4 linked regions of the Mus musculus genome follow. The protein of the gene in region 4 interacts with the protein of the main gene of each other region in a pairwise test. Links are inferred from orthologs where the notes say so. Each region holds a gene or a part of one and is shown on either strand. Other genes may lie near its edges.

Region 1 (6,691 bases), on a different chromosome or scaffold from region 4:
CAAAGAAATGAGCTCTGATAAAGTGTGCCTACTGAGCAAAGAAAGTGATAATGAATGACACAGAAATACTAGACTGCAGCAAATCTTAGAACAGTCTCTTTAAATCACACATTGAGGCTCTGAAATGCTTTCTGGAGGCCATAGGGATGACTGTGAACACTTTACATTTCAATGTTTTTGGCTTTTTTTTTTTTTTGGAGAATTTCAAACAACATAATTTGCTCATATTCTTTGATCTTCCCTCAACTCCCCTCCCAGATCTTCCCTATCTCCCTACTCACCCAACTTCATGTTCTGTTTTCACCATGAGAACTTTGAACTAATTTGATTTGTAAATGAAAGATATCAAGTCTCTGTATAAAACACAAACAGAGCAACAATATGGACTAACAAATCAGAAAATCACATAAGTAAAATAAGTCATACTGTACAACTTATAAAAAGCTTCTATGACAACTTATAATGATGTACAATAAGCACATGCCAACAAATGACAACAGGAAGGCTCAATGGGCAGAGAGGGGGCAGTGCCCAGTGGCTAACAAACTCTACTGCAAGTCAGCACAGAAATTCGCGATTTCCAGACAGCTAAATAATAATAAGGAACCTCACTCTAAGAGAATATCAGATTTCTCAATGAGCTAATTATTGATAAAGAATAATACATATTTAGTATGCACATAATTCTAAATTATTATTTTTTTAACTTAGCTAGAATTTAGTTTAAGCTTTCATAGTGATTCTGACCTAATACAAGAGATTGGGCCATGTAGACATATAATGTGTTATTTTGAAATGTACATTTGCTTATGTCATATCCACATCACTGTTGAGAAATAAATGACCCAGCTTTAAAGTGCTTAAATAGAACATCTCAAATTGTTCAAACACCACATTGTTAAAGCTGTCACAGTTTAAGCCAATTTAACTGGGTTTGTCTATTTGTATATTCCCCCTCTGGTCAAAACTCTGATGGAGAAAGAACTTCAGTAGAGGATACACAGTCATTTTGTACAGACTGTCTACTTTGCCTAAACACTGAAAGAATACAATACACTATTCCTTATTTTTGTTTTTTTTTCTTTTTCAAGACAGTGTTTCTCTGTATAGTCCTGGCTGTCCCGAAACTCACTTTGTAGACCAGGCTGGCCTCGTACTCAGAAATCCGCCTGCCTCTGCCTCCCGAGTGCTGGGATTAAAGGCGTGCGCCACCGCACCGGCTCAATACAATATTCCTAATACTTAAGTTATGAAAAGTACTGGAAGATGACTTTTAAGGATCATGAGCTAAGATATACATGATGAGTCAGTGTAAATTCATAAAATAAAACCAGAATTCTTTTCTATTCTCTGGTCTACAGAGATCATATGTGTTAGCCAGCCTACCTTCTGTGGTTAGAATGCTTTTGGATTTCCTCTTGAAAGGTGCACAATTCTTCACTAACTTTTGCAAGTTCTTCAAGAGCCTTCATAGCATAGCACATAAAAGAGAGCTTTTGTTAGCGTGCTGAAATGCTTCTTTAGAAATAGCTCCCGGCTGACCCCATCTTACTTACTGTGTTAAGGGCGACAGAAAAATCTTTGCTCTCCTTAGAAGTGTTCTCACCAGCCCAGGTCTCACATGCCTTCCTGTCTGTGGCCAAAGGATTCCAAAACTCCACTTTGGTTTCTGTGTGTATGTTTTGTTTTGGAGACCCTTGACTTTCTTCCCCAAGGAAATTCCTTTCTGTTTTCTTTTCCTTTTCTGGATCATCTCGGTAATTCAGCACTCTTAATTTGCATTGTGCCGAGTTGAGGTGATTTGGGGGAAATTCCATTTTATCTTGATCACGGCAAAGATCAATGACCTTAGAATATTCATTCATGTTCATCTTCCTCTGAAGCTTTACTTCCTGGCAAAGCTGTAAAAATTAAAAATTAAAAACTTATTTTTCCTAATTTACTTGAGCAATGAATTCTCTTAAAGGCATTCTCACTTTGTAGCCCTGGGTAGCATAGAACAAATTCTGAAGTCCAGAGTGGCTTCAAACTCTTAAAGATCTACCTGCCTGTGTGACTTGGAAATAAAGCTGTGTGCCAGTATTCGCAGCTTTGATCAATATTCCTAATACTAAGCAAATCATTTGAGTTCTCTCTGCAATATTACAGTGTACTACCATTGGTGTTAATGCTTGTGTATATAGGCAGTGTCTCTAAAATAGGAATTAGCCAGAAAAGTTTTGGGGAACCATAAACCATAAAGACTAATTTTAGTAAGGCAATGCATGGACATTACATTCTATTTTTCTGATGAGAAATCAACTCATTGTCAAATAAAGTAAGTCTGGATCTACACAGAATGTAAAAAGTACATTCACAGAATTACACTGTGCTGTATCAATTACTGACTGTTCTCTCTAAGTGCTTTTTGGATATAACAAGAGTTTAACATTAATAAAATCATATGTTTTACTGTTACACTATTATATAGCAACATTAACTGTCTAAATAGCTGTCCATATCATACAGTAAAGCAATATATTCTCCCCTCTAACTAAGCCCTTGCTAATCATCCCCTCAGTGGGTCAACTGAATTATCAAGGTATAGATATTACAGTGATATCTTGATTGATACAATGATACAGATTCATTTTTAAAAGTTCTTTATTCTGATTAAAACAAATTCATCAGTGTTATATATGATCAAACGGAGCTCTAAAGCTTGAAACATTGACTGCCTCTGTTAAAGACAATCCCAAACTATTTCTTAAGGAGGACTTATGCAAATCAGAGGCTACTCTGTTAGCTCACCCATAAAGTGAAGAAGGAACACACATTCACCTAAGGCTTACACCTTGGACATGCTCATCATATTTCAAAACAGACAGTCAAACAACTCGAAAGCAAATGTCTCTATATTTCACAAACACAATAAATGTCTGTAATAACAATATACTTACTCAGTATTTATACATACTTTAGTTCACAGAAGCACCATACATAATTAATACATTAAGAATACATGGTGCTTTTAGTTCATAAAAGTTTTAATCACTCATCTCATTGATTAATATAAGAAAGCCACCAAACTACAATAGTAAATTGATTGTTTAGATGCTTACAAAATTATGCCTATAAATTATCTTTACTGAATTGCTATTCAACATGAGTGATATAAAGAACATCCCCCCAAAGTGCCATGATACATTTAAGGATATTATTGGTGGTGGTGTTCTCTTCTACAAATTCCTGAATAGGTTGGATATGGTGGTGCTCACCAATTCCAGCACTTGGGAATCAGACAGATCTCTGTGAGTTCAAGGCCAGCCTGGTCTTCAAAGCAAGACACAGGATAGCTATAGCTGTTACACAAAGAAACCCTGTCTTGAAAAACCGAAAGGGGAGGGGGATTTCTGAATAAATAGGAGATGGCTATATCTTCAAATCCAGGGGAAACTGTGCTATTTATGACACATGGCTTTTTATTCTGCATCTGATAACTATATTAGGTCCCAGAAAGACCCTTGACTGTACTCATCTCAGCCTTCAATTATAGCTATGGTGTAATTTACCTTATAATGTAATTTTATGCTGTTATTTCTTCTCATGGATATTTGGTCCAGAAATGGAAAAAAAAAAACCCTAGTACACAGTAAGGAGTGGAGAACTACTTGGTATAGGGGCTGATACTCAGCCCTTGTCAATAGCTAAATGACTGTTCTAACAAAGGACACAAGCAGAAAAGATACAAACAGTAAAGAGTGCAAAGTGAACAGAAAACTCTCAAGATGATATCAATTCAGTGTATCCATAATCCTAGTTCATATGTAGTTTATTCTAAGTTTCAAATGGTCTGAGGATGTACATCCTGGATTTTCAATAGCCATTGACATTCGTGGGGACATGGGCTCAGCAGAGAGGCACAGCATCGCCATGCTCACTGTTGGATACTTTCACTAAGAGATACTACAGGTGATTTTACAGGTGCATACGTGGGAATCCACACTTCTCTAGTACATGGCTCAATATCCTGAAAAAAATTAAAACCTAGAACCAATTAATTTTAAACAAAATGCTATATTTGTAAAACAATATATTTACTAAACAAAAATACTCCATTATGCTTTCAAAATTATATGATTGTGTTTTTGTTTTGTTTTGTTTTTTAGTTTTCAGAACAAGTGTCTATTTTCTTTAACCTGTGAAACTATTTCCTCTGTTTTACCAGCATTTTATCGTAGCATTACGTACTGTTGATCATTATTTACATAACCAGAGGAAGACACCCTTCTAGGATTGAGATTTTCTCTACAGACACTATGAATACTCTCAACAATGTTGTCTTAACTACAGGTAGGAAGTCCCTGGGTAAGAACAGAGGGAAGGAAGCAAGTAGAAACTGTTTTCCAATTTGTAGAGCACCACAAAGGAATCATTAATCATAGATATCTCAACTTATTTTAGAGGAAGGACGTAATAGTCCCTTTCCTTTGCTTTCTGTTTTAGTGGACCACTTTTTCACTCTGTATTTTATTCCCAACCTATTTATTTGTTGTTAGTCAGAAAAAAAGTATTTTTGCGTTACAAACATACAAAGCACTAACTTTGTTTATATGCTTTTAAAAGGGCCCAGCAATCTGTTAAATAAACCATAAAATTTAATTCTGTGTATTAAATAAAATAGAGCAAAATAAATATAGTTAACTTTCAGTTGGAGGAAGCTTGAATGCACACCCACCAAAGGAAGAAATATTTCAGAGCAAAGTATGGGCTGACTGGGAGATTATTAAGGAGAATACAATCACTGACTACATCAGAGCCATGGCATGCCTTTTTAATAACCCATTTCCCAGTAAGTGTGCTAGCATGTGAGGACCACTGTCGGTATTAATCTAATAAAATAAAAGTAGCCACTGCTGCTTTTCTATTTGGCATATGGCATACGTTTTGATGCTGCTGAATAACTTGACATCCTTTGGTATACATTACTCAGATATCATCCCAGGAAAACTCTTTATTCTAGTGCCAAGTTATAATCTTAACACTATATGTCCCACAAATTATTTCCTGCATTTTCTTCCTAGGTTCTAGTATCTGAACATTTATACAGAATATATACATTACTTTCAGTACCGTGCATCTGAATTCAGAGAATAAGAAATTTCATGTATTGTAGAATAACATTTACAAAGTCTTCATTTCCATACGAGATTATAAAATAAATGTAGTCTCAAACATACCACCGGGTGGAGTTGAGTTGAGCGAGTTTTGTTCTAGTAAATTTCATAAGACATTTATTTCTTTGGTGGAAGAAGAAACACAAAAGCACTTCCTGATATAAAATGCATGTCAGCAGGCTTCTAATTTCAAGCTTGCACTTAACACTACATTTAAAATAAATCAAGCCTTACCTCTTCGATCTTCTTCTGCATGATCTTCCACTGACTCTCCCATTCTTTTCTTTCCTTGTCAAACTGGTCCAGTAACTCCATCTTTTCCTTATGCCGGTTGGCCTCTGTGCTCCCCCTCTGCTCATGGAGGTCCGTGGCAATTGTGTGAGTGTCAGCCACAGGACTGCTGCTGCTCATCTCTGCCTTCTCTTAGCTGGTTCTTGGAAGTGTTAAACTGTTTGGTTTGAAGTGGTCTCACTTGCCTTTAAAATAAAGCCTGAGATAAACATAACAAGACAGTGTCCCAGGCTTGTGTGCTTCCTGCCAACATATCATTTTTGTCAACCGTCAATGACATAATTAAACTATAGAAGAATAACAAAAAGAAGGGAAAAGATAACAAAAATCTGATTATAAAGGAGTTTTTTAAAAAAAAAACACAGTCAATAAAGTGTCAATAAAGGGTCCTAAGACCCTTTCTTCTGTTTTGATATTAACAGGAAAATTATAGTGAACAAGCTGGCTAAGTGTACATGCATGATATAAATATCTCTTTACCTAACTGCTTAATCTAAAAATAGACTTTCTTCATAAATATTCATGAGTTTGAGTCTGATGTGCTGATTCTGTTGCCTAGATGTGCTGATTCTGTTAAAATGGAATTAACTCTTTAAGTGTCAGTACAAGTTAGTTACATATGCCTAAGATTTAAGATTGTGAGCCGGTTCAGAATAACTGAGTTCAGAGGTCAAGCCCATGTAACGTAGGAAGGATGTACCAAGACCCAAAGCAGGTAGTCACCTAGAGAGGCTCATGTCTCAGCAAGAAACTAACCTAATCTTAAATTTGAAAAGGTCATTATTTTACTTCCTGAAATAAAATCTAAAGAATCATTATTGTCCCGTGAGAATTTTAACATGTGTTAAAACTTGTTCATGACCTCTTGTTTTTCACCTGGACTATTTATGTCTACAATATCACTATAGGAAATAGTTACGGAACAATAACTATAGGAAAATGTTTTTTTTTATGTTACACTAAGTAATGACCAAAATAATGTGATTTCTAATATTCAGCATATGAATATTTAGGGTTTGAAGAGACCATTTAATATGCCAGATATGGGGGCCAGAGAGATGGGTCAGGATTTACACAGTGTTCTTAGGATTGCACAGTGTTCTTATGGGGGACCCAAGCCTGGATCTCAGGCCCTAAACTGGGTGACTTAAAACCATCTGTGACTCTAGCTTCAAGGAATCCAAAAGTTTTTTCTGAAATCTGTGGGTACCCACACTCACACATGCACATACCTCCCACCACAC
Region 2 (6,691 bases), on a different chromosome or scaffold from region 4:
ATATATTTACATCCTGCTGATTGCTATTTTGGAATCGCACAATTTTAAAATAATCTAGTATGAATGTGTAAAATATAAATGTGATATACCTTAAATGTTAAATACTACACATTCTCAGTTATTCTTTAAAAAAAAAAGTGTTTAAAAACTATGTAACCTTTATTTACTTATTTAAATCTCACCTCACTGGCAAAAACGTTCAAATGGACTACAGTTAATCATAGTCATTATATTTACAAGCTAACTAGATATTTGGTTGACAAACCTATTTTTCCACAAACCAATGCATTCCTACACTTACTGGTTTTCATACTGAAAGAAAAACAGATTATAAAAAAAAAAGCTAAAATAGTTAGCAAGCTAAAATGAAGTAAATTTAAATACAAATATTTACTTTTGGAAAAGAAATACTATCAATTACCTGATGTTGCTGTGTTTCCACTCTGAAAAAGTGAACCTCCCAAACCAGCTAAGGCTCCCCCTAAAGAAAGCCCAGTTGATGCTGTTGTAGTTGTGGCTGGTGTTGCTCCCAAGTTATTCAAAGTAAATCCTGTGGATGCTGAAAGTAAAAGACAGAGAAAGAAATGAATAGCCTTCACACAGAAATAGTACTTTAAAACACCACAGGGAGGGGCTGGAGAAATGGCTCAGAAGTTAAGAGCACTGATTCCAGGTCCTGAGTTCAATTCCCAGCACCCACATGATGGCTCACCATATAATGGGATCTGATGCCCTCTTCTGGTGTATCTAAAGAGAGGGACAGTGAACTCACATAAAGTAAATAAATAAATCTTTTAAAAAACAAAAACAACAGAAACAATAGGAGTACATTCTCAAAACTAGAATTCAGACACATCTGAAACTATATGCTCAAAAAACTTTTGGAAATACTCAGAATAAAGAGTAATAGTAGTGAAGAGTAATAGTAGTTTCAAAGCAGAAACTAGTGACCCTATTTCCCCCTCATCCAACAAAATAGCTTTGAGAGCTATTACAATGGCACCCAGTAACTAACTCTAAACAACAATATAGTTTTTAATCCCAGCCAACAATTCTGCCTTTAAAAGTAAATGAATCATGAACTAGGTAAGTACAAACATCTTTACACTTTCTGCCAATCTCTTAACAATCTCTTAAAAACAGACAATAAAAACATCTCTACCCTTTGACTCTGTTTATTATGTAAGTAGTAGAGACCATATTTCAAGATAGTCATAACAGCTTTAATAGCCAATGCTAACTTATTTTTCCAGATAAAGTCTTGTTACCTAGCCAATCCTTGCCTTAAACTCAAGTTCCCCCTGTGGCTCCCTCCCAAATCACAGGTGTGGACCACTAAACCTGACTGAAAAGGCAATAGATCAGTAGGACAAAATCAATAACTAATTCAAATAAATTTCCCAAAGTATAGTTGTGCTTTTAAAAGTGTTTATGCTTGTACAGCAAAACAATTTACCTACTGAACCATCTCCCCACCCCTGAGTTGTTTAATTTAAATGGTTACTGGGTATTCGCTCGCTAACTGGAAAAAACTTTACTATAACCAACAAATTCAACTTTCTTCCCATTCTGTCTCACCTGCTGGAGTTGATGTCAGAGCAGATGAGAGAGTAAGACCACTAGCTGAGGTAGAAGTGACAGGCAGGGCAAATGGTGTGGCAGATGCCGCAGGTTTACTGAATCCTAAACTGAAGCCTGTTGTAGACGCAGATGTTGTTGCTGCTGTTCCTGTTTAAAAAAAAATCTCATTTTTATCTTAATCATACAGATATTATGCTGGTCTTCATGAGTATTTTATGTCTGGGATCCTTTTCTCTATCTACCCTAAGTAGAATAGAGATACACAAGTCAGGACTAAATTATGGTGAATATAAAACCTTCGGGTTAAGAAAAAGAACTAAAAGATGGGTGTGGTGGTTCACACCTTTGATCGCAATACTCAGGAGGCAGAGCCAGGCAATCTCTGAATGCTAAGCCAACCTGGTATCCTGGTATATAAGTTCCAAAACAGTCAGAGCAACACAGTGAGACCCTGTCTCAGAAAGCGGAGGGGGGTGGGGATTGGTTGCGGGGCTAGCAACCAAAGAAAAATGCAAAAACAACCACTCTAATACTGTGATCAATTTCAATTCCCCCCCCCCCCCCAGGCTTTCGTACAGTAGCACTTATTCCCTCCACCTGCTTTGCTCTCAACAGAAAAATAGCCCCTCCTGTCCCACCCAGACCTTACTCCTGGAAATCCTCTTCCTCTGGACTCCAGTACCAAGCCCTCTCCTCACTCCTCCTTTTCAGGCTTTGCCTGTACATCTCCTTCCTGCATTGCTCCCAGAGTTCTGCTGCTGCTTACACCACTGATCTCTCCAGTTTCATCATTCCAACCACAGCTACAGGAATCTAACCCTAACTGGCACCAGCTTCTTTGGTTTACTAGGGCAGTATCTCACTAAGTATCCACAGCAATACTACTGTGTTAGCCTCCCTACTACTGAAAGCACAGCATGCACTACCACACCCTTCCATGAGCCTGAATCTATGCCTACCTGAATCCCTACTGGTTGGTGGATCTTGATGTCCCTTTGAGTCATGCATCTAACCACAACACAAAAGCCAGCTAATACCCTCACCAGTCAATTCAATCACTCAAGGCAGAAACTCTGACACATTGTCCTTCTTTTGCATTGCTTTAGTTCCAAATCTTATTAATTTTATCTCAAAAATATTGTTAGATTACTGGCACCCTGGAAAACATTATAGGTAGTTTTGGATGTGGATTTATGTTCATTACATTTTTAGGTCTATGACTCCTTAGAGGAAAAAAGACTATGTGACAGTCTTAGAAGCAAACCCTGGTTGTCTCTGAAAAGTTGTAAGATGTTAACAGTTCTGTCCTCGAAGTGAAACTTTTAGTTATCTATAACATCACAGAATTATGGGGCTGGGAGCACAGCTCTCAGTGGAAGACCACTTGCCTTTATTTCTGTGAGGTTTTTTTGGTTTTTTGTTGTTGTTGTTGTTGTTGTTTTGTTTTGTTTTTTTAAGTAAGTTTTTTTCGTTTTTTTAAAGATTTATTTATTATTATATGTAAGTACACTGTAGCTGTCTTCAGACACACCAAAAGAGGGCATCAGATCTCATTATGGATGGCTGTGAGCCACCATGTGGTTGCTGGGATTTGAACTCAGGACCTTTGGAAGAACAATCAGTGTTCTTAACCACTGAGCCATCCAGCCCCTGTCTGTGAGGTTTAATCCTTGTCTCTGGTTAATTTTTTTTTTAAGGCAACTAGTGAAAGTTTTGGTTCCACATCCAAAACTACCTATGTTTAAAATACATCTCTAACTTACAAAGGCATGACATTGAAGCATTCAGTTTTTATATACCCAAATACTGAAAGGCTTTGAAAAAACCATTATGTGGGATCTATACAAAGTTCTTTATAATTATTCTTTCTCCTACACTGAAATAGTACAAGAGGAGAAAATCCACAATTCATTAGAAAAGCAGTTTGTTCTCTTCTCAAAAATTCTTACTTAGAATTAACTTTATAGCTGTAGCTGCTATTCTCAGTGACAACAAAAGACAAACTGAATGATCAATGAAGATGGTTTCCTTCTAGATTCCACTTTCAGAGAATAATATACTTGTAATAAGACTGATATATGATTATAGTAACAAACACAAGCATTTTCCCTGAGAATAAAAAAGATATTTGAAGTACTAAAGCTATAAGGTACTATCATCCAAAAAGCTACCACTCAAATGTGTGCCAGAAACTAAAGAACTATACTTTCTACCTATTTTAATATCAAAATTTACAACATATTGGTAAACTGCCTTAAGCATCTTTACTAATGAAAAATACTGTAGTATATAATTTAAAAAAACCATCTTGATTCACGTTTACAACTTTCAAATGCTTCTCTGGAGCGGCTCCTTCACCAATACAAACATCCAATTCCAGAGATGCAGTGATGACTTTTAAAATAAAGACAGAAGATGGAGACTGTCACAGAGAAAGGAGCTTCAGGCTTCAGTTGAGGAAATGCCTCCATGAGATCCAGCTGTAAGGCATCTTCTCAATTAGTGATCAAGGGGGAAAGACCCCTTGTGGGTGGGACCATCTCTGGGCTGGTAGTCTTGGTTCTATAAGAGAGCAGGCTGAGCAAGCCAGGGGAAGCAAGCCAGTAAAGAACATCCCTCCATGGCCTCTGCATCAGCTCCTGCTCCCTGACCTGCTTGAGTTCCAGTCCTGACTTCCTTTGGTTAGGAAAAGCAACATGGACTTGCTTCTTGGTCACGATGTTTGTGCAGGAACAGAAACCCTGACTAAGACAGAAACCAAGAAAGAAATATCTCATTTACCCTAAGAACAAGACCATTCTCCTTACCTGCACTTGTTCCTCCTAGAGTAAATCCAGTGGCAGGCTTAGATCCAAAGAGGCCTGTTCCAAAACCACCAGCTGAAGCAGATGTAGATGCTGGGGTCACAGAGCTTCCAAGAGATCCAAAGTTGAGTCCCACAGAAGGTGTGCTTGTTTAGAGAAACAAACAAAAAAAAAAAAAAAAAAGAGAGAGAGAGAGAGAAAAAAGAAAAAAAAGTCTGCTATGGCTAATATTTACTTTGAAAAATTTAAAAAAAAGAAATTAACTGTTTAAAATTGTTTTCTCTCATAAAATCTATGACCCAAAAGACATTGAAAGAAATACGCCTAACAAATTCAAACACCTTCCTTTTCTCCTTAAAAATAAATATAAATATACATTTCATCTTAAATAATTTGTACTGAACCTGTTAGCTATTTGGGAGGCAAAGGAATCACACCTTCTTGGCCCGTGTGGACTACACAGTGCATTCACGGGCAGCCTGGGAAATTTAATAAGACCACACCTCAAAATTTAAGGAAAAGTGTGGCCTGAGACATAGTGCAGCAGTAGCCCTTGCTTAGCAAGTGCACATTTCAAACTTCACTACTACAAAAGCAAGGAACACAACAAGGCTGGGAAAGCACTCTACTGCAATTAGGATGTCAGATCACAAGACTACAGTAGACATCAGCAAGGAACACAATGCTCTCAATCTCAAGTCTTCACTCGACCCCTAGCATATTTTAAATGGCCACAGATGACTGTTTTTCCTTTGAACTACTTGAGAACAGTCCACACTTCTAATTACAATAGTTCAACAATGACTCACATAAAAAGACATGCATACGTTACTCTAGGTAGGTTACTGCTGCTCCTTTACTGCTACAGTAAGTATCATGTCCTCTGTAAAGACTGTGTGTTGAGCTAGAGAATGGCTCAGCAGTTAAGAGCACTGACTGTTCTTCCAAAAGTCCTGAGTTCAAATCCCAGCAACCACATGGTGGCTCACAACCATCTGTAATGAGATCTGACGCCCTCTTCTGGCGTTTCTGAAGACAGCTACAGTGTACTTACATATAATATAAATAAATCTTTTAAAAAAAAAATAGACTGTATGTTTACAGAAGAAACTCTTTACATAGCTTCTGGAAACCTAAATAAAGGACAGCTGGAGCCGGGCAGTTGTGGCGTCTTTAATCCCAGCACTAGGGAAGCAGAGGCAGGTGGATTTCTGAGTTTGAGGCCAGCCTGGTCTACAAAGTGAGTTCCAGAACAGCCAGGGCTACACAGAGAAACCCTGTCTCGAACAACCAAAAAAAAAAAAAAAAGCTGTTCATCTCAACCATTAGAGGTCAAAGTTTGCTACCTATAGGGGGAAAGATTATAAAAATAACCAACAAGTTTCAAGAATTTGATACCTCAAAAATCACATAGGAAAATTAATAGAACATAAAACACAATGGGAACTCTTACTTCTCATGTTACGTATTTATTACTTCCAATTCTGTTTCTTCTGAAAGCCAAAATCACAACAAGTACGGTGGCATGCCTATAATCCCAGTTATTCAGGAAATTACAAATTTCAAGTTTGCCTGGACAACTTAATGAGACAGTCTCAAATTAAAAAAGAAAAAGGCATCTAGAATTGGTGGCACAGGTCTGTAATATATGCTACTTAAGTAGTGGGATTGTCAAATCAAGGCCTACCCAAGCTTCAAGTGAGTTCTAGGTCAACTTGGACTTCTGAGTCTGCCATGAAATAAACGTAGAAAGGAACAATGGGGTACAGTTCCACAGGACAGCACTTCCACCTTGTAAGACCTTCATTCAATGCAGCATAATACTTGTTTTAAAACATTGAAAAAGAGGCTGGGCATGGCTCAGGGATGAAGGCTTGTCTACCAAATACACAGGCGCGCGCGCACACACACACACACACACACACACACACACACACGAGAGAGAGAGAGAGAGAGAGAGAGAGAGAGAGAGAGAGATGAGAGAGAGAGCAAGCGAGAGAGCGCGTGCACTCAAGCGAGCATGGGCAAGCACACCAACCACCTGCAAGGTGATGGAGAGATAGCTCCGATTTAAAAAAACAACCAATTGCTAGCTAAAATTAAGACAACCACAGTCCTGGTCAGAATATCATGCTGCTTAGGTCCAGGAACTATCAACCCCACAGTCAGCCAGAAGAGTCATTCAGTCTTCTGCACACCCTAGGAACCCAAGAGGGGAAAGCTGCAATTTAAACACTTAAAACGAATACTTTCAATAGGAAGGCAAGTAGCAGACGATGTCTAGTAAGCAGAGTGTCACAGTGACA
Region 3 (6,454 bases), on a different chromosome or scaffold from region 4:
TCCATGCAGTATTGAAAAGAAAAGGTCAGGCTGGGTTTGGTGGCACACGCCTTGAATCCCAGAATTCTGCAGGCAGAGGCAAGTGGATCCAGCATGGTCTACTCAGAGAGTTCCAGAACAACCAGGGCTACATAATAGTGAGACCCTGTCTTAAAACAACAACAACGGGACTAGCGAGATGGCTCAGTGGGTAAGAACACTGACTGCTCTTCCGAAGGTCCTGAGTTCAAATCTCAGCAACCATATGGTGGCTCACAACCTCCCATAAATGATGCCCTCTGGTGTGTCTGAAGTCAGCTACAGTGTATTTATGTATAATAATAAATAAATCTTAAAAAACAACAACAACAAATGTTAATGGAGTTGCACACACTGATGCATTTGTATAATTTCAGAACTCAGAAGGTTGAGGTAAGAGGATCATGAATTTGAGACCAGGCTAGCTTATGCATAATGAGTTCCAGGCTAGTCTGGGCTACATACTCAGACCCTGTCTTTTAAAAAAAAAATAGAAAGAAAAAAGAAAAGGGACTGGAGAGATGGCTCAGCAGTTTAGAGAACTGACTGCTCTTCCAGAGGTCCTGAGTTCAATTCCCAACAACCACGTGGTGGCTCACAACCAACTGTAATGTGATCTGATACCCTCTTCTGGTGTGTCTGAAGACAGCTACAGTGTACTCTTATACATAAAATAAATAAATAAACCTTTAAAAATAAAAATAAAAGCACCTGCCTCTGAGCCTAACAACCTTAGTTTAATCCTCAGGCCTCATAAGGTAGAAGGAGAGAAACCCCACACACATGTCAGATGCACATGTGCACCAATATACACACAGACACAAAACCAACAAATAAATATGAAAGTACGCATGAGCCAGGCGTGGTGGTGCATGCCTTTAATCCCAGCACTCAGTAGGCAGAGGCAGGTAGATTTCTGAGTTCGAGGCCAGCCTGGTCTTCAAAGTGAGTTCCAGGACAGCCAGGGCTACACAGAGAAACCCTGTCTCGAAAAACCGAGAGAGAGAGAGAGAGAGAGAGAGAGAGAGAGAGAGAGAGAGAGAGGGAGAGGGAGAGGGAGAGAGAGAGAGAGAGAGAGAGAGAGAGAGAGAGAGAGAAGAAAGTACAAAGTACACATGGTTAGGGATGTGGCTCAGTGGTTAGACAGTTTAAGAAGCATTAGTCCGGGCAGTGGTGGCCCACGCCTTTAATCCCAGCACTTGGGAGGCAGAGGCAGGCAGATTTCTGAGTTCGAGGACAGCCTGGTCTACAGAGTGAGTTCCAGGATAGCATTAGGTTCGGTTCCCAGCACCACAGAAACTTGGAGTGGTGTTGCACACCTGTCATCCCAGCCCCGGGGAGGTGGAATCTCGAAGCTCCGAAGCTCAATATCATGTAGTTTGTGCTGCAGGAGACCTTGCCTCACATAACAACCACATGTTCTTAGTCTGAACATTCATTCTAACTCCTTTGTTGCTAAATATGGCAGGTTTAAACATCAGCAATACTTGGGTAATTTATTACTGTTTCTTGGTGCATTTATGCTAATACTGCCAGTTCAGAATGAAGCTAATGAGAATACTGTCAAATGACATTTGTTAGAATATCATCACACAATGAATTCACATTAGTCTTGCAGACAAACTTAGGTTAATATTAATATTATTGTGAAGTTGGAGTTAATGACATTATTGGGTACCTGCTCTCAACCTATTGGAACTAGGTCAAGATTAGTATTATCCCCACATCCCGGGTTAATGACAATATAATTGGCACAGTCAGTTCTTAACATCGTAGAAAGGCTAGGCTAGTGTCTGACAGCACACACAGAGCATATGGAGTGATACAAAGATTAGCATGGCCCCTGTACAACGATGATGTGGACATTCATGACGCATCATTACATACCTTTGCCCCAAAATGACTAATTATATTAGCATACCATGAGTTGATGTGCTTCTGTGAATTATTGGATTTAATGGTAATGTGATTGCCAAAGATGGAGGTTCATCTTTTTAAAGTTATGTCATTATTCATTTGTGTGTGGGTCCATGTGTGAATGTGGAGGTCAGAGGATAACTTGCAGGAACCGATTCTCTACTTCCACCATATGAATGCTGGATGTCACTCAAACTCACGTCATCCAGCTTGGCAGCAGGTGCCTTTTAGTCATCCCTTAAACACTTTGATTTGTTTTGAGACAGGGTCTCCATATGTAGCCTTAGCTACCCTGGAACTCTCTATGTAGATGAAGCTGGTCTTGAACTCAGAGAGACTCACCTGTTTCTGCCTCCCAAGTGCTGGGGCTAAAGACATGTACCACCATACCACCTCAGCTAAGATGGAGTTGTTATTTTTTTAAGTTTATCATTTTATGCATCAGTGTTTGCTTGCATGTACATTTGTGCCTCGAGTATGTGCCTGGTGGCTGTGGGGGCCAGAAGACACTGCCAGATCCCTTGGAACAAGAGTTTAAAGATAGTTTTGAGCTACCATCTGGGCTGTGGGAATTGAACCCATGTCCTCTGGAATAGCAGCCAGTGCTTTTAACCAAAGATGGAGTGCTTTATAACAGAATTTTCACGTGATGAGCTAATGCTGTCTACCAGTTTCCTCTGAGATGAAGATTGAAGTATTCCATCCGCTTAAGCCCGAAGGTAAACAACTCAAAATGGCTTCAGTAAGCCTCTGGAACTGACCAGATTCACCAGGCCCCTTCCTCTCAGAATAAGCAATAAAGACTACTGTGAGTCACTCTCAAGACATGCCAACCACAAAGAAGACCAGACCAGCTGCCTGGAAGAGGTTTAGACCAGAGTCACTTGGGAAAGACACTTCCCAGCCTGTTATCAGCCTGCAGGCTCCAGGCTCCTAGCTTTTATGAGCTGTCACCCATGCTGTGTTGGGCTTTGGTGATACAGTTGTCTTGAATCACATCTGTTCCTGTAAATAACCCCTCACCCATATTCCTGTAAGTGACCCCAATAAAACTCATTGATTCACCACGTTGGACTTCGGTGGTACTTCGCTCTGTCATGGGCTCCCTATTTAGGGTAAGAAAAGTCTTGTCACGCAACTAATGATCACTGAACGTATGTGGTTAATGTTCATACTGTGGGAATACCCTGGCATATGTTAATATTACTGCCAAAGATCCACTCCACTTAATTATAATACTGCTGCCTGACGACTTTATATATATATATATTCACCACATACATGGGCCTCCTAGTGTCACCAATAAGAACAATACCTGGAGCTGTTTGCAAGCCACTTCTAGCTAGCCCTGGGAGTCAGGTCACAATTCTGGCACAGCAGGCTCACCTGAGGAATGGATGACTCTACTCCTCTTCTGCATGACATGCATCAGGGCACCTACTAGGCCTTCTGACTGCTGCGCGGGTGGTTGCTGTACTGAGTTCTCTAGAGCTCCAGGGGTCTGCAGCAAGAGATTGGCGCACAGAGGAGGGCTCAGGACTGGGAGAAGAGCACTTCTCCTGCCCTTTCTTCATTTCTTCTCTCACACACTCCAGTCTCTTTCAAGGGACCACACCGATCTCCAATTTATCACTGGATTCCCCCAAAACCCAGAATCTCAACCATGGTCCACAATTTTCTGACTTACACAGATCCCCCGTTATCTATCCTGCCCATCTTTACCTTGTTCAGCTGAATTCCCTGCCGGATTTGGTCCAAAAGTGCACCCCGGCCCCCACCAGGTGCTGGGCTCCCCCCAGACACTGGAGTAGGAGGGAGCGGGGGAGGGGCGGGCCCACTCCCAGGGCAGGGTGGAGGTGGTGGTGGTGGTGGTGGTGGTGGCGGTGCTGGTGGTCCCCCAGCTCCAGGGAGTGGAGGAGGTGGTGGTCCAGATCGTCCAGTGGCTGGAGGGGGTGGTGGAGGAGGACCCCCTCGGCCTGGTGGTGGGGGCCCTCGTGGTGTTGGTGGAGGTGGGGCACCCCCCATAGGTACAGGGGGCAGTGGACCTGAGCGACCCTTATTACTCCCCACAACAGGAGGTCTCAGAGGCTGGCCTCCTCCTCCTCCTCCTCCTCCTCCTCCTCCTCCTCCTCCTCCTCCTCCTCCTCTGCATGGCGGCGGAGGTGGTGGGAGTGGCTCTGCAGAGGGGTAAAATGACATTTATGTGTGCATTAAGTTTTGAGGTTCACTTTTTTGTTTTTCGAGACAGTGTTTCTCTGTATAACCCTGGCTGTCCTGGAACTCACTTTGTAGACCAGGCTGACCTCGAACTCAGAAATCCGCCTGCCTCTGCCTCCCAGGTGCTGGGATTAAAGGCATGCGCCACCACGCCCGGCTTGAGCTTCATTTTTTTCTTACACATTTCTAGGATAACAACCTTCAGGACCAGAGAAGAAGGTGCTTACCTTGGCGCCTCATCTCCTGCCGGACAGCCTCTAGACCTCCCTGGTCCTCAATAAAATCGTAGATGAGCTTGGAGGTCTCTGCGTCAGTGAGCTGGGCCTCGCTGATTCCTGCCCTGGAGAACAAGCTCCGCAGATCCGGGTCTAGGTTGTTCACCTGCTCCAGCGGGAACCAAAGGGCAGAGCAGAGTTAAAAGCAGAAAGTGAATTAGGAAGGGGTACAGATTATCACCATAGCCAGAACAGCCAAGTATCCAAGAGGGCTATGGGAAGGGCTCGGTCTGGATATGGGCTCTGAGCCTTGGTCAATGGGAGAGTATGTGGAAGTTGGGTGGGGCTCGGGGGGGGGGCGTCTTTGGAGCTACTCACATCAAATCCATTCTGGGGATCCCAGCCCACGTGGCTGACATGTCTAGAGAAGGGAAAGGGATGGCAATCAAGCCCCAGGGTCCTCTTTACCCCTTGTCCTCTCCTTCCCAGAGGGCCTCCAAAAAGCCAGAGCAAGTGAGCGAATATTTTGGTTACCATTCATCTGTCAGACCATGGCTTGGCCATGTCCCTGTCCCTCCGCCCATCTGCTCAAATTTTACAAATTTGCCCACCAATTTCTCTTTTCATCTTTGCCTACCCATCTACTCCCATATTTACTTTTTTCCTTCCTCCCTGCTGCTCTTTCCTCTTCCTCTTCCTCTTCCTCCTCCTCCTCCCCTCCTCCACTTTCTTTCTCATCTGTGGGCTGTTTTCTTTTTTTAAAAGACTTATTTATTTTATGTATATGAGCACACTGTAGCTGTCTTCAGACACACCCGAAGAGGGCATCAGATCCCATTACAGATGGTTGTGAGCCACCATGAACCCTTGTCCATAATGCTTCTTTCTCAAAGGTGCTGAGATTACAGGAGTGCCCCACCACACTTGGCAATCCATTTGCATTTTTACATGTTCTCTCCACATGTGTGTTAACTCATCATACGCTATCCATTCACCCACTTGACTGTCCAGTTTATCTATCCCTGCATAATCTATCTGTATCGTCATCCACTCACCCACCCATCTACCTACCCACTCCTACCAATCACCTGCGCGTTCATTCTTCAGCCCATTAATTAATTCTTCCCATTCACCCATCTGCCTGTGTTTCCCTCTGCTCAGCTCAGATGCTTTCCCACCCATTGGGATCCTACGGGAAGAAGTTCTCACTTGAATCCACTCGGTGCTCCGATATCAGCTTTGCTGATCTTCTTTTTCCCTGAGCGTTTCTTATCAGTTGGGCCAGGGCCAGGTGCAGGGAGCCCACGGTATCGTGAACTTGTGATGTCAGGGTTCTGAATGTCGACCGTCACAAGTCCTAGAGATAGTGGACCACCTGATGGGCCTGTGGAAAAATGGTGAATGAACCACTGGCCAACGCACTTACTAGCCGAAGCCCAGGGGCAAGAAATAGAAAGCTCATTGGAGAAGTTTGTGGATATGTTTGATGGACATGGAGGAAACAGATGAGAGAGGTCTAAACAAGGCCTACAGAGCGGTGGATGGATCCCAAAAAAACACTGAAAGAGTCACCAATTCATGTGTCTTTACCATTCAAGTACTGACTCATCCATTCTCTGGCTGGTTGGCTAAAAAGCTTATTAAGTTATTCATTCATTCACACCTAATCATTTGATCTTCCTTGGATAGAATATTCTCTCATCCCACTTTTGTGATTGAATTCTTTAAATGTATATTATGTGTGTGTGCGTGCAAGGCACATGTGTGGAGGTCAGAGGACAACTTTGTGGAATTGTTTCTTTCCTATCTTTATGTGGATTCTGGGGCTAGAACGATGGTGTCTAGGCTTGGTGGCAAGCGCTGTTCCATCTCAGCGGCCCTCTTTGTCCACTGTTCATCTGTTTACATGCCCATTCATGAATTCTCTGAACCACCTATTCATTACTTAAATGCAAGTAAGTTTTCATCCATTTACCCAAATACTCATGTACCTATTTATCTATAAGCCATCATCAGTCCATCTCCCAATTTAGCCATGTCTGCCACCAATCTATCACCGTGCTCATCTGTCCACCCACCATCCACCT
Region 4 (6,691 bases):
GACAGTTTATCTGTACCCCTGGTCCTTGGTTTCCTCTGCTCTAAGAGTGACAGACCAAGTCTGCAACCTCTTACTGAGCAAAGCAAAGCAAAATCCTAGCCAGACTGTGAGACAGCACCAGGGGCCTCCTCCTGTAGCTGGGGAGAAAAAAGACCCGAAGGCCTATGGGAAATGGCAGAGCAAAGAGGCAATGATAGGCAAGTTCTCTCTGCACCCACAGCCTCTATTTGTCCCTTCCCCAGTCCTACCTGGTGCGCACTATGCACACTTCACAATGAGAAAGCTGCCCTTTGGAAAGGGACTGTATTTCCTGATTCCTCCAAGGTAGTCACCAAGACAGGATTCGAACTCGGAACTATAGATGGTTGTGGTGGCCCATACCTGTAATCCCAGTACTTGGGAGGCTATGGCAGAGGGATCTTAGAAAGTTCTACCTGTTTTCTAGTCTGCATAAGTGAGTCCAAGCCAGTCAGGATTAAATAGCAAGATGCTACCTCCAATAAACCAAACTCAGCAAAGCAAAATCCCAAATCAAAGAGCAGCTAGGATTCTGACTCCTGTGCCCAGTGCTACCTTGAGTGTCATTCCAGTGTGTGTGTGTGTGTATGTGTGTGTGTGTGACACTGAGTGACCAGCCTGATGATCTGACATGTGGTTTATTACCAGTCCTGCCTGCCCTGCACTTAGGCATTCTCCTTCCCTGGCAGGGATGGAAATAGGCCTTTCCGTTCCATCGGTGTCTTCCCACACCTCAAAGTGCTGCTAGTGGGTGCAATCCCACATGTGTAATTTGTGTGCACGCAGGATCTGAAGTCACAAAGCTGAGTCACCAGGTCTGCCACCTATTTACGTAGAAATGTGTAGTATGTTTCCCATTGAGGGGTCTTTCTCTCTCTCTCTTCCTTCCTTCCTTTCTTCCTTCCTTCCTTCCTTCCTTTCTTTCTTTCTTTCTTTCTTTCTCTCTCTCTCTCTTTCTCTCTTTCTTTCTGTCTTTCTCTCTCTCTCTTTCTTTCTTTCCTTCTTTCTTTTTTCCATCCTTCCTTCCAATATTGCCACTCTGTAGCTCAGGCTGGCCTTGAATTTATGACCTGCCCAGCTTCCCCCCAAATCCCCCCAAAGACTATTCCAGGCCTGTGCTACCATTTGGGGGTGGGATGGGGTTCCAATTAAACTCTATACCTTCTCTAGGCTGGTTACAAGTACTAATTGGAACAGTGTGTTAAACCATTTGCCCAGGGCCCATCATCCTTTAAGAAGGGCAGAATAAATAAGTGTATCTGCTGTGGCTTCTATTACCATTTCAGAAGGATAAAAGGCACGTGCTAGTGATAAAGTCCCATTCTATCCAGGTGACAGCCTTTGCAAACACACTCAGGGTATCGGAAGCCCCGAGACCCAGGTTGGAATCCCTGGATTCTTTTGTGTAGAGTTCTGGCCCCTAGCCATCCCTGACTGTCTACAGAGGAAAAATTTGGGGTGATGTCTTTAATAAAGTCTCTGTCCCATCTTTCCCCAACTAAGTGTCAGAAGCCCATGCAGGAGGCAGATGGGTCAGCATAGGTCAGGGTTGACTGAGCGTAAAAACAGGGTCATTTGCATGACAGCTTAGGTGAAGGATCTCAGGCCCTTGCTCCTCCAGACCTGACTTTGGGACAAGTTTAAAGCTAGAGGTTAGTTAGAAACATCTGGGCTAGAGGAACCCAGAGCTGGGCCCAAACAGGCACCTTTCTTGTTTGGGTTGCAAAGTCCATGTGCCAGGCTGGGTACCAGGCAGAGGGAGCCTGTTTTCTTACCTATGAAACAAAGACCTAGAGCGAAGCCTGCAGCCCTCTCTAGCTTCTCTGCTTAGCCAATATTTTGGGTGGCATATGCTGATGAGATGTAAATTTTATTGCATATGCAGATGACATGTAAATCAGCACACAAATGAACATCGGTTTCCTGCTGTCAGAACAGAAAAGCAGGGAAGGGAAGGACCATGGCGCGGGTTTTTCCAGAAGGTTCTCTCTAGTTCAGGTTGCATGAGGGGAACCCAGAGGAATCTCACAGAGGATACAACTCTTATAGCACCAGTGGTGGGGCCCATGGAGCACACAAAATCCCAAGCAAGGAGGCCACAGGGGTGCAGCCTTGCCTGTCAGTACACTGCCCCTTCTAATTTGCCTTGGTCTCACCTCTACCTCCCCACACCACCCAAAAGGACAGGCTTCCGTGCTCATGGTTGACGGGAAAGGAGGAAGCTGTTTGGTGAAGCAAGAGACCCAGGCCTGAAGGTCTGGTCTGGGACCAAAAAAAGCCCTCTTTTGTCTTTAGCCACTCTCTGGTCATCCCTTTCCCAGTGACTGGCAGTGTGGCCCTGGCCAGTGTCTGGCATGCCGTAGGAAGCTGCCCACCTCGTGTTGGGTTCTCCTTTGGCCTGTCAACCAGCCAACAAATGCACATGTATTAAGTATCTTCTGTGTGCTGAGGACTATGCCAGCATAGGATGCAAAACGGAATGGACCAGCTCTGTTTTCAGGGTGTTGATATTTGGATGAGGGAGGGGTGAAAAGAAAAAGAAAGAACAGGGCAAATATGATACGTCATAAATGCGAGCTGGGTAAAAGCTTAGGGCACTGAGAGAAGTGGAGACGCTGGAACCATCTAGTGAGAAGAGCTCTAAGAAGTGTAGGCGCCAAGGCCCTGAGGTAGGAACACAATCTCTCCTTCTAGGGATTAGAACGCCAGGAGCTAGTGTGGCTAGAGAGAAGCAAGGGATGTGTGTGTAAGGCAGAAGATAGTATCTTAAAGCCAACTGTGCATGGGCGGGTGGAGATGTCACACACCTTTGATCCCAGCATTCAGGGGGCAGAAGCAGGTGGATCTCTGAGTTTAAGGCCAGCCTGGTCTACAGAGTGAGTTCCAGGAGAGCCAAGGCTACTCTGTCTCAAAAAACATAGTAGTAGTAGTAGTAGTAGTAGTAGTACCAGCAACAGCAGTAATGCCAACTGTGCCATGGCACACACCTCTAATCCTAGCACATAGGAGATGGAGGCAGAAGGATATCAGGAGTTCAAGGCCAACCAGCTTTGGCTACACAGAGAATGTGAGCCTATACTACATGAAACCCTGTTTCAAAAAAAAAAAAAGAAAGAAAGAAAAGAAAAGAAAAGAAGGAAGGAAAAGAAGCGAAGCATGTTAGAAAGCTGTCAGCGGCAATGAGAGGATGAAGTCATTTGGCTCTGGGACACGCTGCCCATCTCTCGGTTCCTATACACCTTCCTGAGGGTTGGGGCTAAGGAAGTGCAAGGTCAGTAGGGGGCTGTCTCTCCTGGCCTTACTTTGGTTTGAGGACTTTGGTTTATAGGTAAGAGCCTGCTATTGGCTGGTTGAGTTTTAAGTGGCTGAATGTCTCCCCTAGCCAGCATCGCCTTCCCCTTCCTGTCACCAGCCAGCCTGCCAGGAGACACTTGCTGAGGGAGGCAGTAGGGTCCTCTCAACTCTGGCCTCACCTCAACTACTGGAGGACAGGATTCCTGCCCCGACTCTCACAGCCAGTTCTCTCAGGCTGCGATCTGCTTTCCCAATGTTCCTTGCACTCTCCTCCCATGCCCCACTTACTCCAACACCATCCTTCTGGAAAGCTACCTCAGGCATCTAAGGACCGCAGCTTTCTCCAAGTTCAGCTCTGGCCTTCCTTAGATTCTCTTCTGGCTCCATCCGACTCTGCCAAGGAAGCAGTGGAATGTGCTGGCCTCGGGCCAAGGCTGTGTGTATTTCAGGCCACAGACAAGCGGAAGGCGCTGGAAGAGACGATGGCTTTCACCACCCAGGCCCTAGCCAGTGTGGCCTACCAAGTGGGTAACCTGGCCGGGCATACTCTTCGAATGCTGGATCTACAGGGTGCTGCCCTGCGGCAGGTAGAAGCCAAGATGAGCACACTGGGCCAGGTAAGGATGTGGGAAGGCATCCCTCTTTCTGTCCTGGCTCTTCAGTCCCACTCAAATAGCCCTACATTTCTCCATGCCCACCTGGCCAACCGGACTGCAGAAAGTTGGCACATTCCAGACTTTGGAGACATCTATCATGGCTGTGTCTCAGTGTTGTTCTTGCTACCCCATTAGATACAAAGTTTCTCTCTCTCTCTCTCTCCCTCTCTCTCTCTCTCTCTCTCTCTCTCTCTCTCTAAAAGCTTTCTTTGTTTGCTCTTCATAGTACCTGCAGAGAGCAGGAGAGACCAAAGGCCACCCTGTCTTCATTGGAACACATCCAATGATTAATAAATGCCCTCCACGCAGGCCAGGCAAGCCCATCGTCAGCCCCACAGGAATCCGTGCCAACACCATACAGAGTCCCCACCCTTGGCTCATAAATACCTACCCTTGGCTCATAAATACTCTCAGCCGTCCTTCCTGGATCCTTGACCCCACAAAACATGTGGGAGTTCTTTTGGTCTGACCATAGGTCCCTGAGGGGTCAGTGTATAGGGTGTGTTTTCCTCTTCTTCCTGAAGACCCAAGGTCCCGTCCCTCAAGGCCTGAGGGAACATTTGGAGAGGAAGCTAATTCCCGTACTTGTTCCCTGAAGGGGACAGCTGATTTAGTTACAGTTCTCTGCCACCTCCACGGAATGCCCATCTGCACCAAAGCCTGCCCTGTCCTTTGGTTGCTGTCCAGCAACCCCAGGGATTTTTTTTCCCTCCCTTTTCTTCTGGTTCCTGCACAGCTAATAATAACCTTCATTCTCTTCTACCCGGAAGTCGCTCCAAAGTGGCTCCATCCTCTGCTGCTCTTCTTTCTCCAATGGCTGCATGGCCATGGGACTCTCTCTGGTCCCCCCATGACCCCCATTCTTTCCTCCTCCCCTGCTTTGAGATGGGGGTTCTCACTATGTAGCCCTGGATAGCCTAGAACTCATCATATAGACCAGGTTGGCTTCAAACTCACAGAGCTCTACCTGCCTCCCTCTGCCTCCCGTTAGTTAGCTTTCTCCCTCTTTTAAAGGGAATGGTGTTGTACAGGCTGTTTCTCACGGTCTCCTCCCACCTCCCGACCCTGTCGTGCAGATGGTAAACATGCATATGGAGAAGGTAGCTAGAAGGGAGATCGGCACTTTGGCCACTGTTGTGCGGCTGCCCTCTAACCAGAAAGTCATCCCTCCTGAGAGCCTGCCTTCCCTCACTCCCTACCACAGAAAACCCCTCAACTTTGCCTGCTTGGATGACATTGGCCACGGAGTCAAGGTAAGGGAAACCCTGCTGACCCCCCACTGCCCACCCTGTCCTGCCGTACAGCTAGCTCCCTCTCGTCTCGCCTTTCCCCAAGCTTTTGTACGACCTCACATCCCCTTCTTCCTCTCCACACTCCAGGACACGTGGCCTAAACTCCACTCTCCCTAGGTCCTTAACTTCCCTCTACTCAGACACTGCTCCTGGAAGATCATAAGCTGTCCCGGCCCCACCCCCCACTCCCACCCCACAGTGGGTCGTGTGTGTGGTGTGTGTGTGTGTGTGTGTGTGTGTGTGTGTGTGTGTGTGTGTGTGTGTGAGAAGGGGAAGAGGGGGAGGAGGGGGAAGGGTGTCAGGGCACGCATGAGAACCTCTCCTCAGCCACATGAGAATAGCGACTTCCTCTGTCTGGGGGTTTGAGGTCATTGCTCTAAGAAGTCACTCCAGAATGCTGCTGATAGGGACAGGAGGCAGCAACAAAAAGAGTTGGCGGAGGGGACCTTATCACACTGTGCCCAACTGCTTCATGTCAGATTAGATTAGAAGCTTTCCTGGGTCTTAACCCCTTGATACTATGCCAGACCCCCAGGAGAGAAAATACCTCTTTCCTTCAGTTCCCAGCTCTCTCTATCCGTTCCTTTTTCCTGTCCAGCCTTCTTATCTTTTGTTTTTCTTTTGATGGTGCCCTGGGTGGAACCCAGGCCTTCTATAAACTCAGCAGAAGCTCCATCCTGAGCTATGTACCCAGCCTCCAACTTATCCTTTATCCTGTAATTCCCGTCTTGCCTCTAGTGGGGCAGGGTGACAGAGAACATGACCTCCCCCACACCATCCCCTCCCCTGCTCACGCTGGGGGAAGTCCCAGTTTCAGAGGTGTCTCTTGGCTTTGGGATTGCACCCCATCATTGAGACTCTCCTAAGTGTCTTGGCTTCTGCCATCCCTCTGCCTTGAATTTGGGGACGGTCACTTCCATAGGTTTCTGGGAAACAAGGAGTCCCCCCCCCCCCCGTATGTGAGGCTCCTTAGCTCGCGCTGGAGTACAAGCTAAATCAGAGCTAAGGACCACCAAGCCACCCAGATCCCTGAGAATTTGAGATAGTGTGGGGTTGCAAAGGGCAACTCAGTCACTGTGGCTGTGCAGAGGAAGTGGCCTTCAGACGGCGTCTGTGCTGCGGGTTGTTTTCTGTGGGACGGCTTTGGGGGACCTGCTGCAGGCCTAAGGGGTGGGGGTAGGGTTAGGACGGGAGGAGGGCTGAGAAGTGGAAGTAGGAACTTGCTGAGTCTGGCTAGCCCTCCCAGTTCTCGCCCTCCGCTCCCCTCCCCCATTTCCTCTCAGGGATGTGGGTAAGAATGCCTCCCCGTGTCCCAGATGTCAATCAACCCTATCGTTCTCCCTTCAGGACTTGAGCACGCAGCTGTCACGGACCGGGACCCTGTCTCGCAAGAGCATAAAGGCGCCTGCTACACCTGTTTCCGCCACGCTG

What was found. The genes of interacting proteins can lie anywhere in the genome.
Region 1: the proteins of Abi3 (region 4) and 9330159F19Rik interact in binary tests that used the Homo sapiens proteins (3 or more experiments, as listed by UniProt). The two-hybrid records come from large-scale screens. The link is inferred for Mus musculus from reciprocal best matches to the Homo sapiens genes ABI3 and KIAA0408.
Region 2: the proteins of Abi3 (region 4) and Nupl1 interact in binary tests that used the Homo sapiens proteins (3 or more experiments, as listed by UniProt). The two-hybrid records come from large-scale screens. The link is inferred for Mus musculus from reciprocal best matches to the Homo sapiens genes ABI3 and NUP58.
Region 3: the proteins of Abi3 (region 4) and Was interact in binary tests that used the Homo sapiens proteins (3 or more experiments, as listed by UniProt). The two-hybrid records come from large-scale screens. The link is inferred for Mus musculus from reciprocal best matches to the Homo sapiens genes ABI3 and WAS.

The regions. Positions count from the first base shown.
Region 1 is NC_000076.6:29,216,996-29,223,686, reverse strand, and holds part of 9330159F19Rik (uncharacterized protein KIAA0408 homolog), read right to left. Parts: intron 5,735-6,691; exon of another isoform or gene 5,633-5,734; 5' UTR 5,568-5,632; coding exon 5,391-5,567; intron 1,902-5,390; coding exon 1,557-1,901; intron 1,467-1,556; coding exon 1,387-1,466; intron 1-1,386.
Region 2 is NC_000080.6:60,242,936-60,249,626, forward strand, and holds part of Nupl1 (nucleoporin p58/p45), read right to left. Parts: intron 4,532-6,691; coding exon 4,389-4,531; intron 1,729-4,388; coding exon 1,579-1,728; intron 560-1,578; coding exon 422-559; intron 1-421. UniProt on the Homo sapiens protein: Component of the nuclear pore complex, a complex required for the trafficking across the nuclear membrane.
Region 3 is NC_000086.7:8,082,185-8,088,638, forward strand, and holds part of Was (wiskott-Aldrich syndrome protein homolog), read right to left. Parts: intron 5,752-6,454; coding exon 5,577-5,751; intron 4,789-5,576; coding exon 4,746-4,788; intron 4,534-4,745; coding exon 4,380-4,533; intron 4,113-4,379; coding exon 3,658-4,112; intron 3,437-3,657; coding exon 3,322-3,436; intron 1-3,321. UniProt on the Homo sapiens protein: Effector protein for Rho-type GTPases that regulates actin filament reorganization via its interaction with the Arp2/3 complex. Important for efficient actin polymerization. Possible regulator of lymphocyte and platelet function.
Region 4 is NC_000077.6:95,834,308-95,840,998, reverse strand, and holds part of Abi3 (ABI gene family member 3), read left to right. Parts: exon of another isoform or gene 1-3,587; coding exon of another isoform or gene 3,588-3,761; coding exon 3,762-3,929; intron 3,930-5,044; coding exon 5,045-5,221; intron 5,222-6,607; coding exon 6,608-6,691. UniProt on the Homo sapiens protein: May inhibit tumor metastasis. In vitro, reduces cell motility.